Linked DNA regions of Pelodiscus sinensis. The protein of the gene in region 1 interacts with the protein of each later gene in a pairwise test. Links are inferred from orthologs where the notes say so. Each region holds a gene or a part of one and is shown in the gene's direction. Other genes may lie near its edges.

Region 1 (6,952 bases):
ACCAGGAGCAGGAACTTGGAGGCGCAAAGAGCCCGGTTCCCAGCTGGCGGGAGGCCCGTTAGCGCCTCAAGGACAGCCCGAGGCACACGCGAGTCACCACAGCAGCCTTCCTCTGTCCTCGGGCGCTCCCCCCTCTGGGATGCAGCCACCTCTGGGCTGAAGCAGCTGGGGACCAGCCACACAGACAGGTCTGCTGCCTGGCGCTACCCTGCCAGGGCACGTCCCACTCGTGCATCAGGGCAGCAGACCACACGGAGCTGCTGTTTCGGGAGGGGGGAAGGGAGGGACAGCAGGCCCCATGGGAGCTGAGAATCGGTCCCTGCCCACGCACCAACCTGGCCAAGCCTGGTCTGACAAGGGGAGAGGATCAGCCTGTGGGTGGCTCCCAAACCGCTGGACCCCGCTCCCCTCCCACAGCCAGGGAGAGCTCAGGAGTCCTGGCCCCAGTCACCCCTCTGCTCTAACCATTGGACCCCGCTCCCCTCCCACAGCCAGGGAGAGCCCAGGAGTCCCGGCTCCCAGTCACCCCTCTGCTCTAACCATTGGACCCCGCTCCCCTCCCACAGCCAGGGAGAGCCCAGGAGTCCTGGCCACAGTCACCCCTCTGCTCTAACCATTGGACCCCGCTCCTCTCCCACAGCCAGGGAGAGCCCAGGAGTCCCGGCTCCCAGTCACCCCTCTGCTCTAACCATTGGACCCCGCTCCTCTCCCACAGCCAGGGAGAACCCAGGAGTCCTGGCTCTGAGGCCAGCAGGTCCCAGGTGAATGCCAGAGGAAAGGGGGGAATGTGCCCCTCATTCCAGCAGCCCTCAGGGCAGAGGCCCCTGGCTCCAGCCCCTCTCCCCCCATGGCCAGGGCTAGCTGGCTCCCCTGCTGGGCACTGCCTGTGACCCACATAGCATGGGCCACACAGGATTAAGGGGGTGGGTGGGAATCTAAACAGGGAAACTGAGTTGGGGGGGGGGGCTGGCAGCCACAGCAGTGAGGGATTTAGCACCTTGGTTCCCAGAGCCTGGAGTTCTACCCCCCCCCCCCCCCCCCGATCAAGCCCAGGCACGGAGCTGCCCCCGCCAGCAGCTCTATGCCCCATGGCCAGTGAGGCAGGGCACTGAACTCCTGCGGGGCCAGGCCCGGCGCCCGGGCAGGTGGGCACAGCTGTCGGAGGCAGGCGCTGCTCCTGCGGACAGAGCCCCTGGGGAAAACCGCGAGGCCGTGCTTGGGAGCCGGCTCCAGCTCGGCGCTGGGGGGCGCCCTCCCCTGGCAGTGAAGGGAGCAGAGAGCTGGGAAGGGGCCTTTTCCCAGGCAGCGTTCCCCACCCGCCAGCGACCTTGTCTGGGCCCGGCCAAGGGCAATGCACAAAGGAGACTGGGCAGCAGCCCTGGCTTGGTCAGCCAGGGAGAGAGGGTCTGAGGCGCTGGGTTCTCAGCCCACCCCCACTGGGGCTAAGGGAGGGGACGGGCAAGGGTGGGGCTTGGGCAGGGATTCCCCCCCCCGCGTGACTGTCTCTGCCAGCAGGATGAGCCCTTTGTGCCCCCAATCACCCTGGTCTCGCCTCAACACCAATCCCTCCCATCAGCCCCATGGCGCCCTCTCCCAGCGATCTCTACCGCCCCCCAACCCACCCCAACTCCCCAATCCCGCCCTGCCCCCCCACAGAGATCCAAGCACCTGACAGGCCTCACCCCAACCACACAGATGGGAAACTGAGGCACAGACAGGTCAAGGAATGGACCCAAGGCCACACAAGGAGGCTGTTGCAAATTAGGAATTGAATCTTGGGGTCTCACAGGCAGAGTTGGAACTCTAGCCTGGAGCCCAGTACAACCCCTTCCCCCACAAATCCCCCACCTGCCTATCCCTCCATCCCATCTGCCCTACGCCCCATTCTGCACCCTCCTTCCCTCTGCACTTGCCCCCAGGCCCCACTGCACCCACCCACAACCCTGAATCCCTTCACGATGTGCTCCTTCCCCTTCCCCTTGCTCTGGGTTTCCCGAGCACCCCCACTCGCTCTGCCCCCTCCAGCCCCCCCCCACTCTAACAGCCTGCCCAAACCCCTGCCCCCTAATGCAATCCCCGGCCCCACCTTGGTCCCCCAACTTGCCCCACCCCCACACACCCTGCTCTGTACTAGGGATGTGAGCGACCAGCCACTTCCCTGCCCCTTGCTGAAAAGCCGGTTCCCCCCAGCTCCAGCTCCATGGGAGGGACGCGGTGGCGGCTCTTGTACCATGGAGCTCCGGCCAGTGTGTGTGGGGGGGGGGCTCAGAGTCCCCTGCTGGCCCCGGCTCCAGTTCATTCTTTGCAATGAGCCCTTGGAAAGAGCCGGGCGGGCTCCTGCTGCCTTTCAACCCGGAAGCGCCCTCGGCGGCTAATCGAATAGTCGATTAACTAATCGCAGAGTTGATGGAAAATCCATCGAATAGTCAGTTAGTTAATTAATCAAAATTTAACATCCCTACTCTGCACGCCCCCTCCCACCCCCAGTGCAGCCCCCTGCCCCTCCCCCTCCAGGCCCCGCCCCCTCAGCCCCCCACCTCAGTGCCGAGCCCCACCCCTCCAGGCCCCGCCCCTTCAGCTCCGAGCCCCACCCCTCCCCCTCCAGGCCCTGCCCCTTCAGCTCCGAGCCCCACCCCTCCCCCTCCAGGCCCCGCCCCTTCAGACTCTCCCACCTCAGTGCCGTGCCCCGCCCCTCCAGGCCCCGCCCCTTCAGACTCTCCCACCTCAGTGCCGTGCCCCGCCCCTCCCCCTCAGGCCCCGCCTCCTCAGACCCCCCCCGCCCCTCCAGGCCCCGCCCCCTCACCTTGCGCAGCGTCGCCATCATCAAGTCCTCCTCCTCCTCGTGCGGCTGCTGCGGGGCCCGCGCGGCGAGGGGCGGGGACACAACGGCAGCCGCGGCCCCGCCCCCCGGGCCCGACCCCGCGCGAACCCCGCGCGCCGGGAAACCCCGCAGCAGAAGCGCGCGCCGCGCACACCGCCCCAGCGCCGCCATCTCGCCCCTGCGGGGGGAAGGGCACTGACGCGCGGAACCGGAAACCCCGCCCTGCGCGGCCGCGGCACGAGGGGCCCTGGCTGGGAGCGATCTCACGCTGCGTCAGAGCACGTCACAAAGGGACCGGAGCGGAATGGGGCGGGTCGCGCGCCGGGTTAAATATCGGCCCTCGCGGACTGTACCATGGAACTCCCCCCCTCCGGACTCTACCATGTTCTGCTGGGATTGTCCCATAGCACCCCCCCCCCGGACTGTACCATTTCTTACCGGAAGGGGGGTACAGTGCAAAAGCACTTCCTCATCCCGCCCCTCCTGGTACAGTTTGCCGTCGCCTATTCCCACCCCACCCGGACTGTACCATATGATCCCCCCCTCTTTTAGCACCTCTGGACTGTACCATATTCATCCTCGGAGGAAAAAAACCCTCAGCTCCCCTGGGCGACAGTCGCAACCCCTCCCCGTTCCCCCCAGCGTGTGCATGACGTCACGGCGGGCCACAGTGACATCACGTGACGAGGTCGCTGCACACCGTCACTGCACTTTGCCTGATGGCGTCACCGCCCAACACACCCATGATAAAAAAACTCGTCGCGTCGTGACGTGGCCATGACATCATGTCCCTGCGGTCACTCGGCTGGGTCATGACCCGGCTGTTCAGTGGCCGCATAGGAAGGCGGGCCCTGTGAGCGTTCCGCCAATCGCCGATGAGCAGAGGCGGGCCCTGTGCTCGCTCCACCATTCTTATTCCTGTGGGGGGGGCGGGCCTCTGACCTTCCAGCCAATCCCCTGCCCGGGGAGGCGGGCCCTCCAGAGGTGCCGCGAGCGCTGGGAGCGACTTGCCGCGGCCCCGCGCCCACATCCGGCGCGCGCTGAGCGGCAGGCTTGCCGGCCAATGGTATCGCGGCGCCGCGACCAATAGGCGCGCGGGGGGGCGGGGCCGCGCTCGCCGCCGCCGGGACAGTCGGCAGAACTCGGCCGCTGGAGCCGCCGCCATCTTGCGCGTCGGGCGGGCGGCGGGTGCGCGAGGAGCGGTGTGTGCGGCCCGGCCCGCGGCTCCCGCCGCCCAGGTCAGCGCCGCCGCGCGGGGGGCGGGGCCGCGGCGCCTGTGGGGGGGCGGCGCTGGCAGAGAAGCAAGGGGGGGCTGGGTCTGTGGGACCGTCCGGAAACGTTGGGAGGGGGCGTGGTCTGCGGGGGTCGGGGCGGAGCGTGTCGAGATGGGGGCGTGGTCTGCGGGGGTCGGGGCGGAGCGTGTGGAGATGGGGGCGTGGTCTGTGGGGGTCGGGGCGGAGCGTGTGGAGATGGGGGCGTGGTCTGCGGGGGTCGGGGGCGGAGCGTGTCGAGATGGGGGCGTGGTTTGCGGGGGTCGTGGGCGGAGCGTGTGGAGATGGGGGCGTGGTTTGCGGGGGTCGGGGGGCGGAGCGTGGCTAGATGGGGGCGTGGTCTTCGGGGCGGAGCGTGTCGAGATGGGGGCGTGGTCTGCGGGGGTCGGGGGAGGAGCTTGTTGTGATTGGGACCTAGTCTTCGGAGTCCGTGGGGGAGGGGGAGTTGGGTCGACTTGGGGGGCGGTTGCGGAGAGAGGAGCGTGGGGGTCGCTGGGGGCTGGAAGGGGAAAGGGAGGAACTGATGAGGGGTTGGGGCAGCTGGCGGATGAACCTGCTGAGAGACGAGCCACGGAGGCGCTGGAGCACGCTGGGGGGTGGCCAGCCAGGGGGGCAGTTGGGGGTCCGGGTGCCGTCACTACAGAGCCAGCTGAGGGTGGAGGCGAAACTGGGACCGGAGGCTCCCTCGCCCCCCCATCGTGTTGCTGCTACACGGGCCCTGGCTGCGCTCGGGGTGCCCTGCCGTGCTGGGTGCTGGGCAGAGGAAAGCCTGGCACGGCTCTGGTGCCACTGAGAGGAAAAGTTGGCTTGGCTGAGGTAACGTGGCTGAGCCAGGGAGCAGCTGGGCCTGGAGACGGGGCAGAGGCAGGTGCCTAGGAGGAAGGGAAGCCCCCTCTGGCCAGCTCCCCCATGCCCTGTGTCTGCCAGGGACCAGCCCCGGATGCTGCCAAGGGAGGGGGCTTGTGCAAGAGACTCGCTTTGCACTTTTGAAGCCTTGTTGTTGGAATTGTCCCACCCTTGATTTCACCCCTGCCTCAGTGGCCCCTGGTGGCAGTGAGTTTCACAGGCTTGTTAGCTTCCTGGCACGACTGCATCTCCCTGGCATTCATCCGTCGCCGGAAGGGCCTGGTGCCGCAGGGTGGGTGCTGAGCCCTGCCTCTTAGACACTGGCAAGCAGAGGCGTCCAGTCGCTGTTGCAGAAGACCCCCCCCCGAATAGATTGGTTTGGTGGAGTTTCTGTTGCCTGTGCGGGCTCAGACCTTAGAAGTGCTGGCAGCTTTCTCCTTTGCCACGAGGTGGGGAAGGACTCCGCCATTGTCCAGCTAAAGAGGAACCGAGCACCAGAGAGAGGAACAGCCCAGAGTTCAGAGATGCTCATAGGCAGCTCCCCCAGTGCACGGTTGGGGACCCCCTTTCCAGGGGTGCCTTGGTGGCAAAGCAGATCTGTGCTGCAGGCAGGGAGCCACGGAGGAGGGAGAGACCCCCTTTCTGTCTGGCTTTGTGCCTGGCACCCTGCGCTCAGCTCCGATAGCGCGGCTCGTGGGCTAGGCGGTGTGGCGAGGATCTCGGTGGAGAATGGAGCCGTGGAGCATGTCACTAGGCCCTGAGCTGGTTCTGTAGGTGATCCCGGTTCCCATGGTGTCAGCAGAGCTGTGGGGGAAGGAGAGTTGATCCTGGGCTGTGGAGAGAACCGCGTGTACGTGCCGCACTGTGGCTGGTTTCAGAGGGACTTGGGGGCTTTGTGAGGCTTTTGCTACAGAGCGTGGAGAGACCAGCCCCAACCCGTGCTGCAGGGAACCAAGGGCAAAGCAACCAAGGGCCTGGAGATAATCGATCTGTGTGAGGGGGTGGAGCGGGGGTAGCACCCCCCCTCTGTCTTCAATCAGACTCCCCTCTCTGCAGGTGTCCAGTGAGGGCAGGAGCCACGGCCTGGCTCATGCGACTTGCTGGCATCAGAGACACAGATCACAGTGTGGGACAGCATGCTCAGCCGGCTGGGGGGTGGGGAATGGGACCTGGGGGCCTTTCCCCTCCAGGGGGTGCTAGCTCCCATCCAGCTGCAGGGCGGCTGGCTGGCTCGGGGGGCCAGGGCTCGGATCCAGCGCTCGCTGGCTGCTACCCTAACGTTACCTGCTGTTACGGAGAGAGGTTGCCTGCCCCATGGGCGCCCCTCGACGGGCTGGGGGAGTCGGTCAGGTGGGCTCTAGCACGGGTGACTGGTCCGGCGAGGAAGCCGGGAAGTAGCCGGCCTCCTACCTCCTTGGCTGCGTCGCGAGGCCGTTCCTGTCAGGACTTCTCTTCGGTGGTGGCGCTCAGCAACGGGAGGGCGTCTCGGGGAAGCAGCCGGGGCCACACTCGGACGTGAGGTGACGCCTCGCAGACCCCAGAGCGCATCATGCTCTTGCTTCCATCTCCTGCTGCTGGGAGACAGCCGAGCCGGCATGTGACGAGTCCGGGCACCTGACGGAGCCGCTAGCTCTGGGCTGTGGGGGGAGGATGTGTCAGGCTCCCAGAACCGTTCCCCTGCGTAATGCAGGCAGAGGCTCAGAAGGGCCTGTAGGAGCCAGGCCTGCAGCTAGACCTGCCGCGGGCTCCTGGACAGGCAACCCTGCGGGGGAGAGGCTGGCTGTGGTCGGGGAGCCCGGAGCGGTCTGGCTAGTGCAGAACGCGGAGGGTGTTGGGCTGAAGGTGGGTGGGGGAAGCCCCTGGGGAGGGGAGGTTTGCGGCAGTGCGAGCTCAGAGAGGTGGGGCACGGGAGGAGGATCCCAGTGCTCTGGAGAGGACAACTCGGGGTGCTCTCCATGGTCCCAGCCAGAGAGAGGCCGCAGACTCCAGGCCCACGCCCTTGTGCCAGTGCGCT
Region 2 (8,092 bases), on another chromosome or scaffold:
GAGCTCCTTTCTCCGGGCCGGTCTGTAGTGCTCTCTGACGCTCCGAGCCGACGGGGGAGAGCCGTCCCGTCGGCTTAGCAAGGCCGTTTCCACGGGAGGTGATGGCCGTGCCGCAGGGAGAGGCTCTCCTGCCAGCACAGCGCTGTCTGCCCGGCGGGGTAAGGGCCAGTCCGTCGGCTGCACGTGGAATGGGGCTGGTCTTTGGCGTGGCGAGGCACGTCCCAGCGATGGGGGCGTTCTGTGCACGTGTTTTCTAAGCCTGGGCCTTCCGGTCTCCACTGGAGAGCCCCTGGAGAACGAGAGCGGGGGGGATCTGGAGCCAGGCCCCTCTCCACCAGTCCTCCAGGCAGCGGGGAAGTTGCGGGTGCACGGGCCGGCGGGCGGTAGTTGCACTTCGCTTGTGAACAAGCATTTCCCAAGTGTGGTCCCAGGAGCTTCTGTCCTGCCCCGAGCGAAGGCAAATTTCCTCTCGGCCCTTTGGGCCAAACCACTCCGCGTCTCCCAGTTTGACACAAGCTGAGGGAGTGATGGGTGGAGGGGAGGGAACCTTTAATAGCTGCCATCCTGGCAGACCGAGGTATGGTTGTCCCCCTAAATTGTTACCACCCACTGGCTGCAACTGACCCATCCTTCCCTCAGAGACAAACGCCCGTTACATGAGCATCCGGCTGCCCCAGCTACCATCACCTTTCCTGCTTCGTGGCTCCCCTCTTGGTTGGTGCAGTGAAGGATGAACAGGTCTGGGAGACTGAATTTCATTTCCACCTTTCCCCGTGCTCCTTCTAGCCCAGGGCTGAGACGCTGTGGATGTTTTGGGGGTGTGGAGCAGCTTGCTTGGGTTGCACCCATCTTGGAGACCTTCAGTGTCCATAGCTATCCCGCTAGCATCTCTCTTGAGCTTGGTGGGGAGCGAAAGCTAAAGGCCGGCCGGCCCCGTCCCAGGCTGCTGCTGGCCTTAAACTGGGGCTGCCGTTCCCTTTGTACGTTAAATCTGCATCGCAACTTTAATGCTGCGCCTTTCAGGGACCCGCGCTTGCAAGCGGAACTCCAGGCCTGAATCACAGCTCTGTCATCCGCTACGCCTTCCATATACTGCAGCCTTCTTGAGGGGAGGAGGGGGAAAGCAGGATTCAGAACCCAATCGTCTCCCTCCCCAGGCTGCAGAAGTCGTATCCAATTAGTCAATTTCACCAGCTGGGCACAAGTATTAGCATCAATCGGAGACTTTTCCCCTGGCTCCAGCAGGCATTGCATTCAGGCCCATGCCAAGGGTAGTGAAGGAAACCCTTTGATGGGAGACTTTAATCATCGTTAAGGAACCTACAGATGCCCGACGGCAGTAGCCCGATGGCCTCATGCCGCTTATTAGCGGCGTATCTGGAGATGGGTGGTGTTTACACAGTTCTTGTATGCTACTTCTTTTCTGCCCCGAGAGCCAAGTGCCTGCTTTGTATATCTGTCCAATGTGGCATAACAGATTATTTTTATTGGCGTTTATTATATACTCTCTTGGGGCAATATTGGACTTATGGGTACATATGTATGGTTTTGTTTAAAATTTTTATATATTTTTTTAAAAGCCCTGGCTATCAAATTAGGAACCCACAGGAAATGGGTTTAGTGTCTAAGCTCAAGTGTTTTATGACAAAACCGGCTGATACATCTATGTGGGAGCCTGTGTGTGTTTCTCTCTCACACCCACACCCAGAGGGACTGGAAGCCGCCAAGTTCCTGAGTGGATTAGAACAGGCGTAGGGCTGCGCTGTTATCCAAGATAGCATGGGGAGATGTGCTGGCATGGCTAAAAGTAGCAGTGGACAGGCACACTGGCTTCAGAGCAAGCTGCACAAGATCTGGGTAAGTACTTGCATTGCTAGCTCATGCCACCACATGACCTTGGAAATATTTAGCCATGCAAGTGCAGGTATGTCTAACCCATGGGCTGTGTCTAGACTGCATCCCTTTTCCGGAAAAGGGATGCAAATTAGACACATCGCAATTGCAAATGAAGCAGGGATTTAAATCCCCCCCACTTCATTTGCATAAACATGGCTGCTGCTTTTTTCCAGCTCGGAGCTTTGCTGGAAAAAAGCGCCAGTCTAGACGGGGATCTTTTGGAAAATAAAGCCTTTTCCAAAAGATCCCTTATCCCTCTTAAAATAAGGGATCTTTTGGAAAAGGCTTTATTTTCCGAAAGATCCCCGTCTAGACTGGCGCTTTTTTCCCCGCAAAGCTCCGAGCCAGAAAAAAGCGGCAGCCCTGTTTATGCAAATGAAGTGGGGGGGATTTAAATCCCCGCTTCATTTGCAATTGCGATGTGTCTAATTTTCATCCCCTTTATGGAAAAGGGATGCAGTCTAGACAGAGCCATGCAGTAATCACGCCTAGAATTGCAGTATAGACATCACCCATGCATGCAGAGAGTCCAGTCCAGCTGTGGTAAAGGAAATTGGTACAGTTGTCTGCAAAGTTTGGAATTGTTGGCATGAGAATCCTAGAACTTCAGACCTTTCAAGTGCCTGGGAAAGAACTGTCACCCCTATCTGAGGAGCATAAAGAGAGCACTTCCTTCAGAGCAGGCTCATTTCTTTTTACGCGCAAGATTTCAAGATGATGAGATTTCCTTTGCACACTCCTGTGTGGCTCCTTTTCCTGCTGGTTATTCCTTTCTAAGAATTTGGGGGTTTTGCTCATTTTTTATATGTATATCTTAGCACTAACAGCACATATACATAGTACTATTTTCAGAAGAAAATTAGGATAACTCAGCAGATCACACATTCCCTGTGACATGAGGCATGAGTTAAGTGGAAATCCAAATAAGGGCATTTTTTTTTCTATTTTGTATATTTTTGTAGTGATGTTTCTATTTAAGGATTCATTAAAGTTCAGTATTTTTTAAATGCAGAGTGGCGGTCTGTGCATTGAATTGTATGCTCTAATTAAACTCAGATACCAGAATCATGGGGTGACATTCTCTTCTCTGTCTTCTGAAGGAGGCCAGATTAGATTAAGCTAATGGCCTTTTGTGCTTTTAAAATCTATTAACCTAAGAGTTCAGATCATCTACTGCAAATTAATCAGCCCTTATAAGGTGCTTTGTAGCAGTAGATTGCCAAGCATTTCACAAAGGAGGTGACGATGATCCCTATTTTACAGATGGGGAAACTGAGGTACTATTGAGGCAGGGACTTGCCTACGGTCACCCTGCAAGCCGATTGTTGAGCCAGGAATAGAATCTAATTTTCTCCAATCATTGTTCGAGACTCTCTCACTTTACCCAAAGCAGGGTAGTCCAGCTGGGCTGAGGCAGGAGGGGGGAGGGGGCTATTTGCACCTCTACCAATCACATTGCTGTGTGCCTCGGTTTCCCCATATGCACAATGGGAATAATGATAGTGACCTTCTTAGGTAAAACAGGGGAAGCCATTACATCCCCAAAAGCAGTCAGATCCTTCCTCTAAAAGGCCAGACACCCCACAGGTGTAAGGAATTATGCCATCAAGGTGCAGGAAGTACATAACCGGCTGTGTTGGGCTCTGCAGGACAATAAAGCATCATGGCGTAGCTGACTCCAGCCCACACTCAAAGGCTATGTCTACACTGGTGCGATCTTGCACCAGAGAAATGCAAATGAGGCTAAGCGTAGAATATCACCGAGCTTCATTTGCCTATCTAATGAGCTGCCATTTTGCGGAAGAGGCTCTTGCGCCAGAAGGAGCTGTCTACACTGCCCCTTCTTGCGCAAGAAAAACCCTCTTGCTCAGTGCTTTTTTGCGCAAGAAGGGGCAGTGTAGACAGCTCTTTCTGGCACAAGAGCCTCTTCTGCAAAAATGGCAGCTCATTAGATAGGCAAATGAGGCTCGGCGATAGTCCATGCTTAGCCTCATTTGCATAGCTCTGGCGTAAGATCGTGCCAGTGTAGACATAGCCAAGGAGGCTGGGTCTGTGCGTCTCTCTCCCAGAGCCTGGGCCGAGGGGCCAGAGCCGGACTAAGGGGTGGGCGAGCCGGGCAGCTGCTCGGGCGCCAACTGATGGAGGGCGCTTGACGGCAGTTGTACAGGGCGTGTAGCGTCCCTTATAGCTGCCATCAGGCACCGTGCACCCAGCTCCCCCCCACATCCCAGTGGCGCTGGCCAGCAGCGCCCTTCCCCCCACAGCCACGGGGCCCTGCACGGCCAGGCAGCGCATGCGCCGTGGGCCCCAGGCTGCGCGCCAGTGGCCATGGCCGGACAGCGCATGCACCGTGCGCACTGGGGCGGGCCCACACAGGCGCCATGCGCTCTGGGGCGGTGCCACGCACCCGGGCCTGGGGTGCCGAAATGGCTCGGGCCGGCCCTGCGAGGGGCACAGATCTTCTACCGCTGGGTGTTTAGTTTTTCTCTCATGCGTCTCCAGCTGGGACTAGAGGCCTTGGGAAGTCCAGACAACTGCCCCAGTGCCCACAGGCCCCCAGCGTTGCCAGGTTTTTGCCTGGACTGTCTGCTATTCGGGCCCCCTGTTCAGTAAAAGCAGCAGACAGCACCGGACATGAGAAATGTCTGGTGCTTCCTTTGGATGGACGTGGGGTGGGGGTGGGGGTGGGGGCGGGGGTGGGGGTGCAGTGTGGGGCCATTTAAAGGCGCAGTACCCCCTTTTTTTCTCAACTTTGGTCAAGAGATTTTTTTCCTGGTGTTTTTTTTGGGGGGGGGGGGGGGGTATTTGTTAATTCATCTGGCACCCCTAGGCCCCGCCCCCTGTGCCTGCATTGGGAATAGGGGGCGGGGTCAAGCAGCAGGCGCCCCCCCCCAGCAAGGGGGGGTGCTCTGCGGGGAGGGGGCATCCCCTACAACGGGTGCAGAGGGCCGTGGAGCGGCTAGTGGCACTTTACGTCATGACACGTCACCACAAGGGTCCTAGCCCTGGGGGACCAGGGTGGGGATGAAGAAGAAGGGACCCAGCGAGCCACTTCCGCCCAAAGGGAACATGGCCCCCTAGGGGCCTGCCCGGCCGACTTCCGCCCTTAGCCGTCATGGCTCCCCGGCCACTTCCGGCCTCGTCCAAGATGGCCGCCACGTTCACTGCCCCGTTTCAGCCGCGGTGGCCGGAAGTGGGAGGGTGAAAGGGCGGAAGTCGGCGGGGGAGGCGGGAGCGCGTTCGAGATGGCGGCGGGGCCCATCTCCGAGAGGAACCAGGGTAAATGGCGGCGGCCTCCGACCCCCTCGCCCCCCCCCCCCCGCCACGAGGGGCTGGGCCCGATCCTGCCCCCACAGCCAGAAGGGGGGGGCTGGGTTCCAGCCGGGGGGGCGGGTCCTGCTCCCACAGCCCGGGGGGGGGGCTGATCCTCAGCCTGGGGGGGCCTGATCCTGCCCCTGGTGCTGGCTGGGTTCCAGTGGGGGGGGCCAATCTTCCCCTCCCAGCTGGAGGGGGGGCTGGGACCTCCCCCCAAAAGCGGGGGGAGGGGGCTGGGTCTGAGCCTGCAGGGGAGCCCGATCCGCCCCTCCCCCCCCACCAGAAAAGCTGGGCGGGGTGGGGCTGAGTCCCAGCTCGGGGGGGGGGGGGGTCTCGATCCTCTCCTCAAAAATGAGCGGGGATGGGGCTGTGCCCCAGCTGGGGGGAGGCGACCTCCCCCCCCAAAAGCCAGAGGGAATGGGGCGTGTCCTAGCTTGGGGGGGCCACGCATCCCACTAAAAGTGAGAGGGGTGGGGGCGCTAGATTCGGTTCCTCTGCTTTGCATGTGATTTCTGTCAGTTCGTTTTTTGTGGGGGGTGGCGGGAGCTGTGGGTTCTCACTCTGCAACCCTGGGCAGATCTTCCCTCCTCTCTCTGCCTCAGTTTCCTCCATAAAATAAATACCTTGGGGTGGGGGTGAGATTTTAGTTTGATCTGAAGTATCGACTTTGTGTTGCCTTGGCAATGGGAGGGGATCATGGTCAGCAGCGTCATTAGGTATGGTTTGAGGGTGTTACTGTACAAACGTGATTTAAGGGGAGTTGCTTCCTTGCACGCAACAAGGGGAGGCAGTGTAGCCTACCTGCTAGAGCACTGGCCTGGCCCTTGAGACACCTGAGTTCTATTCTTGGCTCTGTTGGGTGATCTTGAGCTGCTTCTTCTCACTGCCTCAGTCTCCCCATCTGTATTATGGGGCTGATGATGCTGACCTCCTTTGCAAAGTGCTGTGAGAGCTACTGAAGGACTAGCTAAAAGTTAGGGATTAGCACCTCTTTGGTGCATGTCTGCACTTCAAGCACGGGTTTTAATCCTCTGGCTTATTGGGTGTATAATACTCCAGAGGAGTGTGTTTCATTAGGGGTCAAATCTTGTGCTGTTGAAGTGGAGGCAAGTTTTGCTTTTGACTTAGTGGGCTCAAGCTTGATACAGAGCTCCTCTCTTCTGAGGGGGGAGTTCCTAACTCCTCTGAAATAGCAACGAGATTCCTCTTCAGAGCCATGTAACCCAGAACCGTCTCCTCTTCCCCCTCTCAAGATGCTACCGTGTACGTTGGTGGCCTGGACGAGAAGGTCAGCGAGCCGCTGCTATGGGAACTCTTCCTGCAGGCGGGACCAGTGGTCAATACTCACATGCCCAAAGATCGAGTCACAGGTCAACATCAAGGTAAGGCGCTGTCGGGGCCTTTCAAAGATGTGTGTCTGCAAAATAACGCATAGATCCGAATCCTCGTGGTGCCTGGTGCTGTACAAACACTGACCAGCCCGTCCCCAGGCCTGAGCTTATAATTTAAATCATTCTTCTGGGTTTCAGTTTACTCCATGCGTATGTTGCCACTGGTTCTAGGACACAGCACGGACCACATCTCATTTTCATATTGTCTCACTCCAGTTAAAAACATATGAACGGCCATACTGGGTCAGACCCCAAAGGTCCATCTAGCCCAGTGTCCTGTCTGCTGACAGTGGCCACTACCAGATGCCTCAGAGGAAGGGATTACAACAGGTAATCCTCATGTGATACCTCCCCTGTCACCCACCTCCAGAGAAACAGAGGGTAGGGATACCATTTCTACCCTTCCTGGCTAATAGCCATTGATGAACCTAACCTCCATGAATCCATCTAGCTCTTTTTTGAGCCCTGTTAAAGTCCTAGCTTTCACCACATCCTCTGGCAAGGAGTTCCACAGGTTAACTGTGTGCCGAGTGAAGAAAAACTTCCTTTTGTTTGTTTTAAACCTGCTGCCTATTCATTTCATTTGGTGATCCCTAGTTCTTATATTGTGGGAATAAGTAAATAACTTTTCCTTATTCACTTTTTCCATGGCCAGTCATAATTTTATAGAACTCTCTCATATCCCCCCTTAGTCTCCTCTCTTCTAAGATGAAAAGTCCAAGTCTTTTTAATCTCTCTTCATATCGGACCCTTTCCAAATCCCTACTCACATTCTTGTTGCCCTCCTAATCGGTTGCGTTACTTTGAAGAGTAGACGCGTGTTCTGGGCTCCGTTACTTTTTAACCCAGTTTCAGTGGAGACTTGAGGCTTGTCTACAATTGAAAGAGGCTGGAGCAGCTTTGCTGGCAAACTCTCCCAGTGGGAGAGACTGCATATAACAGAATTTTGTAGTTCCCTACATAGAATAAGTTATAGCAACTAAAGGACTTGCTGGTATCATATGTACATGTAGATCTTTGCTGACCCAGCTTTGCCATGTCGGCATGTGATTATTTCACACTCCCAGGCAACATAGCAATGCTAGAAAAACTTCCGAAGTGTAGGCCAGCCAGTAGTGAAACTGGTACAGATCCCTCTTTGGAGACTCAGAGCCGTTTAAATCTTTAGCTTGCAGCTGTGAGCTATGGGTGTTAAACCCGGTTCATCAATTGAACTTGATGAGTGTTCACGCGTGCAGCTGCACTAGTTTAAATAAATCAGTTGCAAAATGGCACCTTTAGATCGGTGCTACTTCATGGCTAGATCAGGCTTCAGAGGCCAAGGGCACGAGAAATCAATAGATGCAGGTGAGGGAGAAAGATGATCTGAATTGCAACGGAGTGGAGACGTAGACCGAGGTGGTTCCGGACACTAGATGACGCAGTGAGAGTTCTGTCTGCAGGGGGACAGTTGGCCTCCTCCGTCATTCCAGCCAGTTGTAGATGATTGA

What was found.
Region 2: the proteins of RBM10 (region 1) and SF3B4 interact in binary tests that used the Homo sapiens proteins (3 or more experiments, as listed by UniProt). The link is inferred for Pelodiscus sinensis from reciprocal best matches to the Homo sapiens genes RBM10 and SF3B4.

The regions. Positions count from the first base shown.
Region 1 is NW_027465846.1:58,658-65,609, reverse strand, and holds the start of RBM10 (RNA-binding protein 10), read left to right. Parts: upstream 1-3,901; 5' UTR 3,902-4,059; intron 4,060-6,952. Other genes in the region: NDUFB11 (NADH dehydrogenase [ubiquinone] 1 beta subcomplex subunit 11, mitochondrial), read right to left, coding at 2,804-2,992. UniProt on the Homo sapiens protein: Binds to ssRNA containing the consensus sequence 5'-AGGUAA-3'. May be involved in post-transcriptional processing, most probably in mRNA splicing. Binds to RNA homopolymers, with a preference for poly(G) and poly(U) and little for poly(A).
Region 2 is NC_134734.1:20,278,848-20,286,939, reverse strand, and holds the start of SF3B4 (splicing factor 3B subunit 4), read left to right. Parts: upstream 1-5,015; 5' UTR 5,016-5,141; coding exon 5,142-5,175; intron 5,176-6,464; coding exon 6,465-6,593; intron 6,594-8,092. UniProt on the Homo sapiens protein: Component of the 17S U2 SnRNP complex of the spliceosome, a large ribonucleoprotein complex that removes introns from transcribed pre-mRNAs.